Linked DNA regions of Schizosaccharomyces pombe. Changing the gene in region 2 together with the main gene of any one other region gives a genetic interaction. Each region holds a gene or a part of one and is shown on either strand. Other genes may lie near its edges. The genes, in order: dus3, cyb502, erg31 and msa1.

What was found.
Region 1: mutations in cyb502 (region 2) and dus3 together harm fitness more than expected from each alone (negative genetic interaction), as found in Schizosaccharomyces pombe (one large-scale study listed by BioGRID).
Region 3: mutations in cyb502 (region 2) and erg31 together harm fitness less than expected from each alone (positive genetic interaction), as found in Schizosaccharomyces pombe (one large-scale study listed by BioGRID).
Region 4: mutations in cyb502 (region 2) and msa1 together harm fitness less than expected from each alone (positive genetic interaction), as found in Schizosaccharomyces pombe (one large-scale study listed by BioGRID).

The regions. Positions count from the first base shown.
Region 1 is NC_003424.3:4,427,839-4,432,257, reverse strand, and holds dus3 (tRNA dihydrouridine synthase Dus3), read right to left. Parts: upstream 2,623-4,419; 5' UTR 2,575-2,622; coding exon 2,534-2,574; exon of another isoform or gene 2,486-2,533; coding exon 673-2,485; 3' UTR 517-672; downstream 1-516. Other genes in the region: dihydroorotase Ura2, read left to right, coding at 3,453-3,569, 3,647-4,419. UniProt on the Schizosaccharomyces pombe protein: Catalyzes the synthesis of dihydrouridine, a modified base, in various RNAs, such as tRNAs and mRNAs. Modifies the uridine in position 47 (U47) in the D-loop of tRNAs. Also able to mediate formation of dihydrouridine outside of the D-loop of tRNAs.
Region 2 is NC_003423.3:2,574,125-2,577,248, forward strand, and holds cyb502 (cytochrome b5), read right to left. Parts: upstream 1,342-3,124; 5' UTR 1,305-1,341; coding exon 1,157-1,304; exon of another isoform or gene 973-1,156; coding exon 819-972; exon of another isoform or gene 771-818; coding exon 698-770; 3' UTR 539-697; downstream 1-538. Other genes in the region: Ragulator-Rag complex subunit Lam1, read left to right, coding at 13-90, 153-363; SPOM_SPBC2G5.01 (Ca(2+) binding protein), read left to right, coding at 2,497-3,124.
Region 3 is NC_003424.3:931,888-935,989, forward strand, and holds erg31 (C-5 sterol desaturase Erg31), read right to left. Parts: upstream 2,082-4,102; 5' UTR 2,068-2,081; coding exon 1,165-2,067; 3' UTR 538-1,164; downstream 1-537. Other genes in the region: SPOM_SPAC1687.17C (Der1 family protein), read right to left, coding at 3,362-3,781, 3,860-3,925, 3,973-4,012, 4,056-4,102. UniProt on the Schizosaccharomyces pombe protein: C-5 sterol desaturase; part of the third module of ergosterol biosynthesis pathway that includes by the late steps of the pathway. Erg31 and erg32 catalyze the introduction of a C-5 double bond in the B ring to produce 5-dehydroepisterol.
Region 4 is NC_003424.3:2,317,957-2,324,492, forward strand, and holds msa1 (RNA-binding protein Msa1), read right to left. Parts: upstream 4,870-6,536; 5' UTR 2,284-4,869; coding exon 682-2,283; 3' UTR 536-681; downstream 1-535. UniProt on the Schizosaccharomyces pombe protein: Negative regulator of sexual differentiation. Acts by repressing the transcription of meiosis-inducing, ste11-regulated genes.

The DNA.
Region 1 (4,419 bases), on a different chromosome or scaffold from region 2:
CTCAGTTTCGTATCTTCAAGTTTGAATACTTTTATGTCTATCTTTGCTTTTAAGTTTGAGAAGGGTAGACATGTTGTGTGGAGTTTGCTTGATGTTTACGGGCTTGCATTTATCTGCATACAACAATCGAATTAGCTGTAAAGTGAACCTGTCTCCTTTGATTCATTCCCGTTAATTTTGCACTTACTTTATTACCTACATGATGGCTGTGTTTGTTTTGTTTGCTTTTTTTTTGTTTTTTAATTTTTTGTTTTGTCATTTTGGGATTCTGGATTTTTAATGGTTTTTATTGTGTATTAAGTTATTTTTGTACCAAATATCCTCTTGCTGTTATTATTATACCTTTTAAGTTAATAAATATGTATGGCAGTGTTATTTACCATATATTTGCTAAGTTATTTCACAACGTAGTTTCGATAGTAATTGTAGAGTACTGTAAGATCGTTGGTTAGTTCCCATTGGGTAAGTTGACTATATAACGTTAGATTCATTACCAATTTGCCTAGTCATTTGCGCATTTTACGAGACAAACACAGATCACTCGTATATAAGTCACCAGATATTTTATTAATCTACTTAATTCAATCCAGATGATAAGCCAGTATTAAGTATGAAAAGTTGATGATGCATATGAAGAAAGTGAATGCTCGATACACTAAGACCATAAGTTGTTTATCCCTCTGCCTCTTCCACACTATTGCTTTTGTGCTTTGGTGTAAAGGTGAATCGCTCAGGAGTAGGACCTAGGAAGAACTCACTCAATTTAACCCAGTCCGTAACTTTATTACTGGCCAAGAGAGTTTCCATCTCATCTCTCGCGGTATATAGAGGCGGTCTATCATTTAATCTGGGCCTTTGAACTTCGTACAAAGCTATAGGTGTATAACGATGGAAAAAGCTCATAAACTCCAAGAAAAATCTCCTAGTCGTATTGACTCCTTGAGAGTCAGAACCCCAATACTCTAAACCATTATTACAGTATTGTTCCAACATTTCGAGTCGTTGAGTTGATGACTTATCAATAAACTGACGAGCTTCAATTTCTTCAAAAATCCATGGCTTAACGAGTGCACCTCGGGCAATCATCACAGTATCAACACCCTTGTTAACACCATCATACCAATCCTGCCATGAATAACAGTCTCCATTTCCAATCAGCGAAAGAGGTTGGGTACGCAAGGAGTCCTCAGGAAGTTCATCTATTCTCTCATTCATACTTTTTACTTTAGAAGCAATTTCACCAATATAATCCCAATTTGCGTTTTTACTATATCGCTGTTGGCGAGATCTTCCATGTAATGTAGCAGCTGAAGTGTTTGTTTCGTTGAAAATTCTACCAATTAAATTTTTGACAACTGGGTGGTCGTCTTTGTTTCCCATACGAAGTTTTACGGTGACAGGAATTTGGCCAGATACCGCATCCATACCTTGGAGATTACGAAGTAACCTGCCAGGATTCTCGAGAAGAGAAGAACCGGCGCCTTGACGAAATACCAAATCTATAGGGCAACCGCAATTTAAATCGAGAAAATCAACGCCATCACATTGTTCAGCTATTACTTGTGCAGTTTTAGTGGCCTGCCAAAGTTTTCCGGTAGCTAGTTGGACCCCTAATATACCACGACGACCACCTCGCATCATTTCACGCTCATAGTTTAGCCCACGAACAAGAGCCCACTCAGGTTGATGACCTTGCATAAGTGGATAACACATCGCCATTTCGGAGTAAAACGTATCAGCACCCAGAGAGCCACAAAGACGACGAAAAGGTGGATTTCCAACGGTGGTAAGAGGAGCTAGAATCTTTCTGTCTCGCCAGTCAATGAGATTTTTTTCTTGAGGCCGTAAAGTAGGTAAAGCGATGTTTGACCGAGCTTGTGAAGAGATTTCTTTTAAATCGACATTGACCGAGACGGTTTGATTTTTTAACACCCCAGTTTCTTCCAGTGAAACAGATTCTGTCTCTTTTCCTTCGGAAATAGCACTAGTGGCATCTCTATTTTCCTCAGGAATATTGGATACTTTTGAAGAAGGGTCGGGCTTTTCTTCACCTAAAACTGCGGATATAATACTTTCAGCCTTTGATAGATCTAACTGTTTTGTTCTTAGCTTTCTCTGTACCTCTTTTCCAACAGTATTTACGGTAAAAAGCGTAAACTGCCCATCGGGTTTTTTTATAAGCTCGTACTTTCCGTCTGCATTGATAACAACATGGCCCGCTAGCCAGCGACATTTGAAACCAGCTGGGCATACTCCATACCGCTCGAATATAGGGCATTTGTCTCCAATGTCAGGTGCCTTGGTAGCAAGGTAAGCCTCCACATCGTGTGGGAATTTGCAGTTTTCTTTATATGGACACTCATTCCCAATAGATATAGCTGGACAAAGAGCGTTGTTCTCTTTTACGTGAATTTTTTCTCTCCGTTTATTTTGACCCCTCTCTTTACGCTTTCGTTTTTTATTTCCATCTTGTTTCACCAAAAATCTAAGGTATAGTTAGTAATTGACTATTGAAAGCGAGGTTCAAGCATACTCTTCCCGAATAGGAACCGCTCCAGTCTCCAATTCTGCCATTAAGTACCCAAAAATCCGATTTCCCTTGAATTTAGTAGTTTGCTTTATGCAAACTGCATATTTTCTCTAGATTCTGTGCGCGTCTGTGAAAATAAGATACGACGTAGCAGTGCAATATTCAAAATTAACGGTTTACATGATAGATTCGAAAAGCAATCATATTGCCTAATAGATAAAAAAAAACTCTAAAACTGCATAGTAATATTAACGCTATATGCTTTTAGGTACACAGTTATGTTTTGTAAAACGTAACAATGGCTGTAACTGTCTATTGAAATTAGAAATGTATAAATCTTAAAGACGTTTAGAATGCACACTTTTGAGATGCTGCTATTCATTGAGTTGTATATTCTTCAGATGCCAAGATATTACTAAGTTAAATTTAAACTGCTTTGTACTGATGACCATAATTCTTCATATTATGTACCTGTATATTTACACATAAACAGGAAATGCTAGTAGTTACACGTTTCGGATTTCTTTTATACTAAGGTAGATCTAATAATGGAGCTTCAATGATTAAGCAAGTAGCTCTATGCTTCCGAAGAGTCAGGACGGTGGTCTAATAATTAAGCTGTTGGTGAATTCTTATGTTTAGAATTAGGCATCTGAACTTTAATAAAAAGAATTAAGAAATAATATTTGGTTTAACTCCGATCAATTAAATCTTTGAAATTAGTTGGAGAATTATCGGTATAGTAAATTTTTTTGAAGTAATTATATTACCCTCACTAATTTATATTGAAAGAAACATACTAATTTTAAGTAGTATTTTTTTACCAATTGTTAAGATTGTTTATTCTTGGTTTAATTTAGCACTAAGTATAAAGTGCACCTTTCTAGTTACTCAACTTGACAATACCCACTACCTATACAAGATGAGTTTGAAAATACCTGGTTTGGCTGATATGCATGTTCATCTAAGGCAAGATAATATGTTAAAAGCTGTAGTTCCAACGGTCGCAGAGGGTGGAGTCTCTGTTGCGTATGTAATGGTATGTAATAAGTATTGTGCTATTCAAAAAATTTATTTGAAGGTTACAAAGGTTTAACTTTTTAACGCGTATAACAGCCTAATTTAATCCCCCCAATTACTACCGTTGATGCCTGTTTGCAATATAAAAAAGAAATTGAGCAGCTTGACTCCAAGACCACCTATTTAATGAGTCTTTATCTCTCACCGGAAACTACACCTGAGGTTATTTACGAAGCTGCAAAAAAGGGAATTCGAGGAGTTAAATCATATCCGAAAGGAGCTACTACCAATTCTGAAAGTGGTGTTGAAAGCTACGAACCCTTTTATCCTACCTTTGCTGCAATGCAAGAAACAGGTATGATTCTGAACATTCACGGAGAAGTTCCCCCCTCTAAGGATAACACCGTTTTTACGGCTGAGCCCAAGTTTCTTCCTACTTTACTAGACCTTCACCAAAGATTTCCAAAACTCAAGATTGTGCTTGAACATTGCACCACTGCCGACGCTGTTGAGGCAGTAAAAGCATGCGGTGAAAGTGTTGCGGGTACTATAACTGCCCATCATCTTTATCTCACACAAAAAGATTGGCAGGATGATCCTTATTGTTTCTGCAAGCCGGTAGCCAAAACCGAACGAGACCGACGTGCTCTTATTGAAGCTGCTACCAGTAAAAATCCCAAGTTTTTCTTTGGGAGTGATTCTGCACCTCATCCTAGGTCTTCTAAACTGAAGACGCCACCGGCAGCTGGTGTTTTTACCCAACCTTTCGCTGCTTCGTACTTAGCTGAAGTGTTTGATAAAGAGGGTCGTTTAGATGCTTTGAAGGATTTTGCATGTATTTTTGGTAGGAAATTTTATTGTATTCCTTT
Region 2 (3,124 bases):
AACTGAAAATAGAAATAAATTCATTGACGTCTTTTCTTTACGATTGAGAACCGAAGCACCTCAGCGAGACCCTCGGGACAACATTTATGAGTAAGCTTTTGATAAATTCTTTTTATACAGTAGAAACTATATTAACATAATGATTGCGATAGGGAGGTATTAGATCAAATCGACTCATTGAATTTAGATCCAAAATACGATGTTGCTAAACCTACCGAGCAGGAAACCGAGTTTATAATAAGGAAACTAGGTGTTTTGATTGATGATATTAACAACATTAAGCTGAGTGATAAAGAAATCAAAGGAAAGATGGTAATCAATTTATCTAAAGTCCAACCGAATATTACTGGAAGTCCTTCATAAGCCCAATAGAACTAATTTTTCCATTAGTTATATTCCACTTCTGATTACATACTTCCCTCTTTACTATTAGCTAAATCTTTTTGTTATACTTTTTTGGTTTGTTTAATATCTCCATGAGTTAATTACATGTTACGAGCTGAACTCATTGTTTTTAAGAGCTCTCTTACTGAAGGAAGACATTTAAGAAATATATTTTTCTAAGTTAACGTTTATTTTGTTTCTTTAGAAGCCTTGAAAACAATTGCTATCCATAATAATATTGAGTGATACTAACATCGCGAAAAACAAAAGAAGGTATAAAGATTAGGAAAATAAATAGGCAAGCCTTCGAAGTTTATTTGTTAAGCTTAACAAACACAATTACTGCTATGGCTGGCAGGACAATTAATGCGATTAATAGAGGCAATCTGTTCTGTTAGCATGAAACAACCATCGTACACAAATCATTTTCTTACGGAGGCGTATCATTATCAAATGAACGAGGTTTCTTTAATTCTTTGAGTCTCTCCTCAGTTCCGGGTTTTAAATCACCAATATACATCTCTTCTAGTAACTCATCTGCAGCAATAGAGTGTCCAATGTCCTGATAGGCCTTAGTGGCGTCCTGGCCTAAAACAAATAGTTAGTGGACATGTTTAAAAAGCCGTATACAATGTTTTAATCAAGAAGGCACACAAGTGAAGAACTGATGAATGAAACGATAGCGATTAAAAGTATACTATCGCTTTTGAGCATAGCAGTCTCCAACATAATATGGTGTTTACTTCTACAAAAGTTTTGTCGAATTATTTACCTGCATAGTCCAACATTATATCTAAGCCTCCAGGATGATCATCAGCAAAGTTACTAACGTCGTAAACTTTTCCATTAATGACCATGTACATGTCTTTGGAATTATTGTGCTCCACAATCTCCTCAGGTTCAAAGTATTTCACCGACATCTTGATAAATAAATCTATATAATAAAAATCGTGTGTTGAGGGGAGTTGGAAAAAGTTTGCGAAAGTTTTGATATCGCTAGTAGAGAAAATCTCACGTTAGGGTATCGTGTGGTAGTAGTAAATAATCGAACAAACGAGCTCAAGGAATTTATTTAGCAGCCAATGATAGGCAAAGCGGCATGTACAAAATTCTGCCAGATTTTCTGCTTAACCAAAAAGTGGATAGGAATAATATTTTTTTACCAATAAACAATTATTGTTGAGGTATGGAGGATTTCTCATTTATATCTTTTTATCTATAATGATCTAATAACGATAGATCTCAATATCCCTCGCAACTTTGATACAAGCTTAATTTAGCTAGCGTTAAGCTTATGACATTCTTCAGTAACGGTATGTTACATGTTTGAAAAAAAAAATATGTCCTAGGTATAAAGTACAACAGGGTGACTAGCTTCCTTTTATTTGCTTTGTTGAGATTAACCGATCGTATACGTAAACAAGCAAGTACAAAATGACTTTCTTTTATATAGAACGCATGAATGTAACTAAGATTTTGAGTAAATGCGTAGCAGTTCGTACAACTATCATTTACCAAATAGATAAACTACTACCTTTGAAAATTGTAACGCCATATAGTTTCTCTGTCGGATATATTCAGTTGAAAGCACCATTCATTGCTAATAAAACACCAATAATTACAGAACCGATCTAGTAATATACATTTAGACCAACTGAGCTTCTATGCTTGTTTGTCTTTGCAGACTGTTTTTGTAACTTTTGCAATAACAAGCTGAAGTGCCAGTACAATATTCTTGAGCATCCGTTAGCTATCTAATTTTGCTTCACATATAGCAACTAGAAAAATAAAAATAAGTAAAAAGAAAAAACCTCAAAATTATGTTGGATATAACTAGTACAAAGTGTTTTCTCCACGTCAAAAAAAGTGTCACGAACCGGGATCGAACCGATGACCAACAGATCTTCAGTCTGTCATGCTCCCAACTACACCATCGCGACATGTTCTGGTTACCGACTTATTTTAAACTATCTATATACACTAGTTAATCTTCCCACTCTAGGAACCGGCTTGTCTCGTTCGTTACTTATTTCACCACGTTCAATCTCACTTCGTACAACCAGTGCCCTTTTTTCTTTCACGAAAGTCAGTAAATTTACAAGCGGAGGAACCATGATTAATAAAAAGCTTTTGTTTCTAGTTTTTGCACTAGCTAAAGGAGTACTGGCTGATGAGGAAGATGAATACGAAGAGGATTACAATATGAATCCCGAGTTGGAGAATCCAGGAATGTTCAAGCATGTCGATTGGAGAGATTTCCGTCTTGAATTTGTTATTCTTGCTTGTTTTTTCCTTTATGTTTTTTCTTTTATCACGCAAAAGAAGAAAAACCAAAAAATCGCTTCTCGCTGGTATGGTTCCTTACAGTCTAGCTTTCGCCAACAGTTTGCACAATATGGACCAGGTCCTAACAGTTCTCCAATCATTTATGACTCTCCTACCGAGTTTAGCTCCTATCTTACTGGACGTCTCAACGTGAAGAATGTGTATACAACACTTCAGCTTTTTCCTCGTCAAGATTTGTTAGCCTACTCTCTTAATCAAATCGTTGAAATCCTCCTGGGAAACGTTATGTCTTCTGTTTTACCTGTTGCTGACCGTTTTCAATTCGATTTAACTCTTGCAGACCAGAACTTGAAGGCTGAGCGTTTTGTTTTCGCCATTGTTCATAAAGACTGTATGCGCATTCTTCGTGAAATACGTTACGACTTAAGCTTTACCCGCATTTCTTCCTCTCCTT
Region 3 (4,102 bases), on a different chromosome or scaffold from region 2:
TTTTTCGATCACGATTATTTTCTTAATTGTTATTTTAGGAGTCATAAGTAGACCATCTTAGTTTGCTGAAAGTTTTTCAGCGACTTTAAAACTTTAATTGGATGAGAAATGTAATCGGTAATTCTTTCATTCTGGAAAGTATACTGCAGAATCTCATATATACATATATATCATAATTCTTATACTAGTAAAATGTTTGTGATTGATTCAATTAATATTTTATGGTTAGGTTTCAAAAGAATGTTTTGTTTTTATTATTGTTTAATTCATTTTTTTGTCCTCATTAAAAATTCTTTTGGTAGAGTCATTACTAAGTTTTTGCTTCGTAGACTACATGAAAGAAGCTGGTGAGGCGAAGTAATATTATGATTCAATACTACCTAAGATATAGCAAACATCAAAAGGGTACAAAATTCTAGGAAATCATCTGGCAACGTTAGATATCAATATGTAAATAGAAATAGAAAAACATGTAAATCTAATTACATACTAAGTCAATAAATGGAAAGGAGTCTGGTAATTTTTGATTAATTAGCAGTGGTTTACAAACGAATAGTTACTAGTTATTGCAAATCAAAATTAGTGTCGATGACATGTGTAAGCTTGACATTCATTTTATTTCAAAATAGAAAAGTAAAGATAAGAGCAAAATTTTCATTTCGTATACGAAACTAGCAAACAACTACAACGACGTGAACAGCAAAAACGAGTGTATTTGAAGTAAATTATTTGTGAGATGATAGTACCAATCAACCCAACTGAACAAACAACGTTTCAAAAGGGAGGTGGTAAGAAATTGCAAAGCAAAAAAAACAAGTCATTTGAAAAGAAAGGAGTGAATGACTAGATGCGAGACTTCCAAATTTTCTGGATTTATCGTTCTAAAAGAATAAACCGAAAAAAAACAAACTTGGGAATGCTAAAGAGACTCGAAATGTAAATTAGCAAAAAGTTTGCAAAGGATATATAAAATCGCTCACATTGTTCCTTTATAGCAACTGAAGGTAGAGCGGGTAAATAATGCATGTAATACCAACCATAGAAATAGAAATACGTGACCAAAAGAGTAAAACCAACGGGGAAAAATGAAATGGGAATGATGAAAACGAAAAAAAAAAGTAAAATCTTTTCAGAGACAAACTCTTCTGAGTCTAGATATGTTGTTTAATGGTTCTTCTTAGCAGAGTTAGCGATGTATTCTCTATCATCATCACCTTCAACTTCATTACGAATAGCCTCGTACTCCATCAATTCGACACGAAGAACATCCTCGTTTTGGCGAAGATCTTTGTCAAACCATGCCTCATCGGGGGCCCGGAAAGAGTTGCCGAGGCGATCAAAGAGGGTGGTGAATTGGCCGTAATTGTAGTTGAAATAAATGTGATGGCCATTATGGTGAGCAGCACCATTGATGATGGGGTTGTTGGAGATGTATTTACCATCGTGAATCATGATGGACCAGAAGTTGACAAAGGTGAAAAGAGCCAAGTAGGTCAACTTGTGAAGGGGAAAGAAAAAGGGGAAAAGATGGTAAGGAAGAGATTGTAAGAAGCCATCAGCGGATTTGAAAGCATGGGATGCATATGGAGTGCAGATAATCCACTTATGATGGAGTTTGTGAAGACGAGGGTATACATAACGGTGATGAAGGAAACGATGAGCCCAGTAAATGCCAAAATCTGAGAACATGACAAAAAGAGGTAAGGAACATAAGAAGTATTTTAAACCGTAATCACTGATGTTGTCGTATAAGTAGCTGTACCCATGCAACTCAGCCAAAAACCACGGAACCGTCAATAACGCCATACCAGGTAAGTTTTGTAAAGCCGTTAGAACTTCCATGAACACCTGGTTTTTTAAGAACTTTGGGTGATCCATCAGACTTTTATCAAACACAAATTGGTAGGAAAGCGACGCAAATGTTAAATACAAGAACATACCGCCAAACCAAGTTAAAAAAAACAAACTGATCGACTGTCTAACGATATTGTCGCGAGCTAATGGATATACAGCATTGTATATCGAATCCAGCGCATATTGGTCAGCATAGTTGAGTAGGTAGTCCATTGAGGTGTTTGCTTAAAATCTATTGACCGGTGGTAGCGTATAAGAAGTACCAAAAAATGGTCTGATTTTGATTGCGATATCTAGTTGGCTGCTATTAATTAGTCAATAGGAAACCGAGTTATCTTTTTCGTTAAAGTTTTTATCAAAAAACAAAGAGGTGGCTTATACACTTCGGTTAGTGAGAGGTAGATAGGGCAGATCGGAAAGGACATCACTGTGGCGGGAAGAATCTCTTACACTTACTATGTGGGGGAATAGTACTACGGGGGCTCGCTATTCAACAAGTACAACGAGGTTGGACATGAATGTTTGATATCGAGCAAGTGGGTATATATTAGTCGAAAATAATCAACTTTACGATACAAGATCTAATCTTAAAACTATTATAAGTAAATGAGATGAAAAATTAAATAAGAAAGATAAAAAATTGAAAAAAGAAGGTTAACATTCCTCCATCTCGGGTTTGTTCTCAAAGGCTTAGAGGTTACGCTAGATTGCTATTCTTAGACTTGGACTAATTTGGTACCCCCATTTTGTTCTTTTTAATCCACTTGCATTTGTAAGTCTAGGAACGATAATGGTATTTCTCAAGAGTATGCAATATGTTGCTGATGTTTTAAGACGATAAATACGCAGTTAGAACATAGTCGTTTAAAAAAAAAAAAAAATAAATAAAGTAAAATAATAAAATTATTTAAAAACAAAAATTTTGGACAAGCCAGAACTCGAATCTGGGACCTCTTCCATGCTAAGGAAGCGTGATAACCATCTACACCACATGCCCATGTTGAAATACTCGCATATAATATAGTATATAATTTACATACTTTACATTTTCATTATATCTTAAATACAACACTTTTAAAATGGAAATAGCGATTATTCAGAAATCATAATGTTGCTCGCGCATAAAGTAAACATACAAATAGTAGCTTGTAGCCCAATTTTTTTTTTAAAAAAAAAAAAAAAAAAAAAAAAAAAAAAACTAATGAGATAAAACATTTATTACTTAGTTTTAAGAAATAACAAGAAAAGCTCGAATGGCTTGGCAAACCAGGAAACGCCTGCGAATTCCTGAAATTTTCGTAATATTATTCGTGCCCTTGATTAGGGAAATCATTCATCTAACATTTTAGATAAACAAAAGACAGTGACTATTCGCCATCCCTAGTCTTTCACAAGCTCAATAGAAATCGACTTGTAAAGATAGAAAAGGAATCAATAGGCAGCAGTCAATCAGAAAACAAGTGTGGTATTTATTTACTTTTTTTTCTTTTCTTATTCTCTTCAGGCGTCATACTGTAGAAAAATCTGTAACGAAGAAGTATACATGTCCAATCAAAGCACTAATTAAATCAAGCAGTGGAAAGATCCCAGTTCGTAACCAGCGCAATAATACCATTACCCATGGAACATAAGGTGCTTTTACGTCGAAAAGACCTAGTATCGAGATTCTGTACAGTGGATGTTTCCACGACCATATGTATAACATGGTAAATGAAAAGTAAGAAGCTGCAAATGGCATGTAGGAAAAATAGGAGGTAACTAAAAGAGAAAACCATACTATCAATACCGTTTTTAAGAAGCTCTGTGTTTGAGGCGGCGGACTAGATCTTTCTAACATACTCATGAAACGAAGTAGAAACGACAAATATAAAATCAACTCTAATCCAAAAGGCCCAACATAAAGGAATGTAGTTATTGCCCTCCAGTACTAAATAAATCTTGTTAACAAGCTAGAATTAGGGAAATCACATGTTATGTCAAACATTACTTCAATCACAAACCGTACCTCCCCTTTTGCTAAAAACAGTTTCCAATTAAAAAATATCTTAAGATCGGATACATAACCAAAATTCTATATTTGTAAGCGATACCATTTATGAAAAATTTGAGTAAACATACCACTGCCAATGTTGTAAATAGGGTTCCAAGTACGATGTATCTGCATAAAAATTAGCGTGTACTCTCAATATTTCATTTCTTACCTCGTAACCGGAGGAGTTTGGCTTATAAATTCTGGCAAAATTGCCAT
Region 4 (6,536 bases), on a different chromosome or scaffold from region 2:
GCAAGGAAACGTATACCCCGTATATAATAGTCCCTTGTAAACTTATGCTTGTCCTGTCTTTATAATTTTTTTCTTTTTCTGGTTCTTTACCTCACGAACCTTTTTTTGTATTTAGTGTCTATAAGGAATATTTATATGAAACTAGTGTTTTGAGAAAGTCTAAAGCTATGAAATAGAGGTCTGTTAAAAAAAAAACTAATTTTCTTTTTTCAGTTCGCCAGTAAGCCAAAATAAAAAGTTCACGTAATATTACAGCCTCAAATTAAAAATTTCATAAAATGAATTGACTTTATATAGTATTTTTGTAAAAATTTATGTAGTGAAAATAATCAAATGGTTAGAGTGTATACGATACATGTGTGAGAACATCTATATTTGGGAGCATATATAAATAAACTTCTATCTAATATCATTATATCGTTAATGCGTAAAGTAGAGAACTGTTACGAGTTACACTAATTCGTAAAATTATATAGAAGACATATATATGAACATAATAACATTTATGACTCTAAATCTTTTAAATATAATTGCAGCCAATTTGCATCTTTTAAGTAAAATAAATTAGATAATTATTAGTGTTTTATAGAATATGTACCTAATAAAAAAAACTCCGACACTTAAGGACTGTATAAAGAAGTGAAACCTCAATCAGATAATGAAGGGAAATTCAAAATAAATCTAATTCCCATCCATAGGTGGGTTATGCGTATAATACATCGGACTGTACGATTGAGGCATAGCCATTTCTGGAGAATAAATGGGATAGTACGACTGAGGAATTGATGTGGGAACGGCACCAGGAGGAAGGGTAGCCATTGACTGGTGAAATGTTGAAAACTGATCCATGGGTGCAGGGATTGGCATCATTGCATTACGAGGTGGTGAAAATGGCGCTGGAAACATCGGATATGGATAGGAGGGATATTGATATTGAGGGGAAAATTGCTGCATTGGTCTTAGTTGACGAAATTCAACACGCAAAGGCTTTTTCTGGTGTGGGGACCTCGTCTTACCGCAGACGGCAGCATAAGCGGCTTGTTGAGAATCAAACCTTAGAAAAGCAAAAGCAGGCTTCTTGCTTTGATGAATTATTTTACAATCGATTACCTTTCCATATTTGGAAAATAGATCAACTAGTAAGTAGTGTGTGCAATTTACTGGGTCGAGTTGGCCAACGAATATAGAATAAGGATCAATCGGTGGAGGCATTGCAGCAAACATCATAGAGGGGTTCATGGGATATCCAGGCTGTTCAAAAGAACCATCTGTTGGGAGTTCGGCCTTGCCGCTTTCTAAAGAGGGTATTGAAGGTAATATACTCGGTAAGGAGCTTAAAGATTCATTAGGAGTACTGAATTCAGTAGAATTGACCAATGAGTGAGCAAAGTATGAGGGACTTTGAACCGCGGAATTTGATCTTCCCATGGTAGAAGGAGGATCGGAAGAAACTGAGAATGGAATAGGGGCAGGTGCTTTGATAACAGGAGTGTTCGACTGATCTTTGCCTTGCGACTTTCGCCTTCGACTATGTGCGTTAGGTGGAGAAAACGGGGAGGAACCTTTCTTCTTATAGTGACCGTTTTGATATGTCACATTTTCCGCCCAAAGTACAGGCCAGGCAGAATGCTTAAGCGCGGTATAGGCTGCGATTGCTTCATCCCTGTAAACAAACCGTACTAAGAAAGCGGATTGATCTGGTATTTCCGTGACATCTTCAACCTCGCCATAAGGTTCCAATAAGTTATCTATGTCTTTTTTTGTAATGTAAGGTTGATGGGGTGCAGAGGATATACGGATTGTCCTATTAACTTTGGCGCGCTCTATACGTATATGACGGCCATCCAATATCGTGTTTTGGGCTTCAGAAAGTGCTTTCGATGCATCATCAGTATTTTGAAATTGAACAAAAGAATAAGGCCTTTGCAACCAATCTTTCAAAACTTTGACATGCAACAAAGGACCCCACTGTTGAAAGTAATCTTTAACAGTGGCAGTCAGCTCTTCCTCAGACCTTGAAGAGTTTAAGCTAGCAACAAATAAACAGGCAACTGGTTTTCCACGGACAGACGACGGATTTAATACTCCACTGGAAGAGGAACTTGGGATAGGGGTGCTTGATGATGCAGTTTCCAAAGGAGGCTTTATAAAGGTAGTGGAATTATCATTTTCGGATAAAGAACCTGGGGGAATGTCTTGTAAAAGCGTTGTTTTTTCGAGTTGGGCTGATAATTTTTCGACAGGAGAATGCAATAAAGATACAGACGGAGAGGAAACAACCATTTTTAAATAATGTGTTTAAAAAAAAAGTTTGGAATGAGAAAGGATCTATAAAGGGGCATGAAACAAGGATGCCGGATTGATATCAAATTAAAAAGACAAAACTTTATACGAGATGCCTGCGCCAAAGTGGGATGGAGGTCGTATCAGTCGATTATATGGAATACAATAGATAGTTATGAGATGATGTGTCAACAGCAATCCAAAAGCTGCGTAGAAAAAAGAATGAAAAGTATTTCAACTGAAAAAGTTAAAAGTTAATTAATTTAAAATTTCCTTCAAAACAAAGTTTAAAAAAAACCCCAGAGAAAAAATTTGGTCAAAAGAAAAGATAAATAAAATTGATCAAAGAAGGGATAGGAAAAAACGAATGGGAAAACTTTTACTCAGGTAATAAAATTGCAGAAATAGGGAAAGAAAAAAACGCAAGCGTATGGTAATTTAGTGCAAAAATGCAAAGATAAAATAGAGATTATACACGTATAAATAAGAAAGAAATGGAATGGCTCTTAAAAATGACGAGTCAAAAGAAAGAAAGAAAGAAAGGATGAAGATTTTGAGAAACCAGCTGAAACAGAAATGGAAAATGAAAAACCAAAACCAGAGATAGACAGTAGGTAAACCAAACGAGACTTTGCAGTCTAACAATAGTCTAAGGAAAGCCCAAAGAATAAATATATATTTGAGTGGGGGAAACGAGTATTTCCAGAATAAGAGTCAGATGATGAGAAAAGTAAAATGGGGAATAGAAATAGCTTGCACGGTGATCAGACCGTGAAAGAAATTTCACAAAGATGAAATTTCAGTTTTTGGGTGATGGATAGAGAGAACTCTTCTCAAGTGGAAGCTAAAAAATAATTGGATAAGCTTGAGGGAGTAGCAAGTTCGAATTGAAAAAGGTGAAAGAATCAAAGAGCAGTACAATTGCAGTTGAATATCTCGAAAAGCTGAACACAGAGAAAGTTTGAGGTGAAAAAGAAAACAAATAAAAATAAAGAAGCCAGTAAACGCAACAAAAGGTGCAAGAGGAGAGCGAAGGAAAGCTCAATGGCACAGACAGAATCAGATGAGAAGAGAAGGTAAACGCAGTCTCACTAGTATTTCAAGCAATGTGGAGGTATTCGATAGATAACAAAAGAAAAGGAAAAAAAGAAAAAATGGGTGATCAGAAATGCAACAAAACTGATAAAGACAGGATGGAAGACGGGGAGACGTCTCAGCAAAAAGGAAGCAACCCACACAAAGAGAAATTGAATTTAGTATGTTAATGGAGAAAGGAGAGAATCGAAAACCCTCGAATAGCAATTGATTTAGGTGAAAGCAAAGAAGGGGGTTATTCACGACGAAGGTTTAGATCTGCTCGGAATATACGAGGAAAAGACATTGTATATCAAGACTACTTGCAAACTCGGGGATTTCAACACGTGTTCTTCATCGGTAATGTAGGCGGCATAAAAGAGGACAAGGGACATTAGGGAGCAAAACCAGACGATATGATTAACTAAAGGAGCAATACATCCGAATCCTGCTTACACTCTAATAATTAGTCAAACGACCAAGACGCTGCCTCAAATCCTCAATCTTTTAGTAATTTTACCGTTCTATTTGGGCCATATCATTTTACTAAATTCTAGCCATTCTCCTTTACCACGATTGATAGGCAATTGTCCATTCGGAAGTATATCACTACTGCCAACATTTCCCTCTCCACAATGTCTTAGATAGTGGGTTACAGGGAGTATAAGGAACAAGCTAGTATTGACAAATGATGAGACATTGAGAATTGGGCACAGGGTAATGGGCTAAAAATTGGGTGCTGCACCGAAGCATCCTTTGGTTGTGAAGATAAGCAACTACAAATTTTAGGAGTAAGTTAACAACGGCCCCATGGAGATAGAAAAAGGAAGAATGCTAAAAGTCGTGAACAAAGGCGTAATCGTCAAAGAAAGGTAAATTGCAAGCACAATGAAAAAGATGATTTTTTACAATAGGATCCAATAAAGCGAAAAAAAAAACAAATAAATAACTAAAGAAAAATAAATTGAATTTTGATTAGTATACAAAAAAAAAATTAAGCACAATCTAGATGAGCAACAAAGAAAAAAAGGGAGACCTTTAAAAGAACAAGGTGAATATGTTATATTACTGTCTGGATTAATGACTGACAAAGACAGAATACGCAAGCTATAGCCAAGCTAAGAAACGAAAAAAAAAAGAAAAGAAAAAAACAAAACAAAACAAAGGTAGTTAGTTTGTCAAGCTATGAATAAACTATTTTCGTCGTATTTTCTTGAGCGTTCTATAGACTGTTTATTCAACAAAGCAAAGCAATAGTATAATACTAGTAGTAAAAGGAGTAACAATAGGAAAAGCCAGCTTAGCGTGTACCGAGGTTTTCTCAAAAAAAAAAAAAAAAAAAAAAAAAGGAATCGCTTGCTGAGATATCGAACTCTACCCCTTGAATCTAACATTCACATGACCTTTTGTTTCTTTGTTTGTCCCCATTTCTAGATGTGTTTTTACCTTGGAATAAAGTCTCGGTATTCTAACTCCGATTGCCTATCTCTAACACTTTGTAGTGGGATGTGCAGGGAGCAAGCTAAATGCACGCACTCTGATGGAGTGAGTTCTGGATAAGTGACAGCTGAGTATAACGATAAACATCGTCGTACAGTTTAGCTTCCCTTTGAAACAAAAATTTTAAGTATGTGTAATGGTGCTTATTTATCGAGGAAAAGGGTGAATCTATAATAAAGAATGGATCGTTGGAATGTAGAAAGTAGTCGATACTTGAAAGTGAAAACAGATGTTGAAAAAATTAGTCGATGTTTAAATGTTTAAAAATAATAATAATAATACTAATACTAATTTTAATTCTTGTATTTTGCTAGTTAAACTAGAAAACTGCCAACGAAATACAAGCATACATACATATCTATATCTATATCTATATATAGATATAGCTATGTTCCTTTCCAGACACCAGTAGACTCGGTCTATATCGCCAGCATTTCTTAGACTAGGATTAGAATGGGATAAAAATATGAAAAAGGGAATGCTGAGGAAGGATGAATAAGAGTCGTTATATGTTTTTCTTTACTGTTTACTTTTTCTTTTTTTCTTCTTCTTTTCTAGCTCGCCTTTGGCCCAAATTAAGCTCATTAACCTGATGCTGTCAGATATGACTTGACACTCTCTGTGATACTACATATGCAGACAATTTCTGGACGAAACATTAAATTTTCCGATCTTCAATCAACGTTCCGAAATGGTCTACAGAAAGAGTAACAACAAATTGTATGTAGCGTTGGATATGAAAATGCACTGCGTGGCATAGCATACAATACTCTTACAAATGCGCTTGGCAAAGACGATTCAATTTAAGATTGCTGTTATGCTTACAGTATAAACCAAAGCAGCAAGAATGGAATCCCCGTCCCGTAAATTTTTTTTTCTTGGTAATACGTTAAAAGTATAACTTGGCAGACATGTCGAAACCGATCATTTGTAAATCAGCTTCTCTTAACTATCTCTAGTGGATGCAATAGTATGTTAAACTAACAAACACGAGTACATTTGAAAGACTCATAAACCAAATTCGATGATGATCCTTTTGTTGATAAACCGTTTTATGGTGGATCTTTGGCGTATCCTATCCCTTACTCTTCTTTCAGATATGAAACAAAGTAAATAATAGCCGAGGCAACCATCTATAAATCATCATTGTTTAGCTGCTTCCCCCCCCTAACATGGGACGTAAGACAATGAAAGTTTAATTTGCTTTTAATTTTCGTTTTGAAAAAAGTTTGTTAGATATGGTTCGCTTCCAACCTTCCTACTTTAATAAACAAGTCGGAACTCCAGCTAGCATAAAATCTGTGGGAGAACTCTCAAAATGCTTTGAAGAGTGACTGTATCGATTGATTGATTGATTGATGGGGTGAACTAGGTAGCTGTATGAACTGAACCATCCCTACTATTAAGAGGTATGAAAACGTACGCATGTTAAGAGAAGCTCTAACTACATTACCATACTGTTATGTACTACTCTTCTCCAAGCCAGATCATAGAACTTTCTAAAGAGCATAGATTTCATTTAATTTATTTATCAAGCTTTCTAACTACGTTCTTCGTGAACTTTTTTATTACTGGGCCATTTTAAAAAAAAAGAACTTCATTACTAAACCAAACAAAAAAAATACCATATATGATTTATTTCTTCTCGTTCTTATACTATGTCTTATACCAGGGAAACC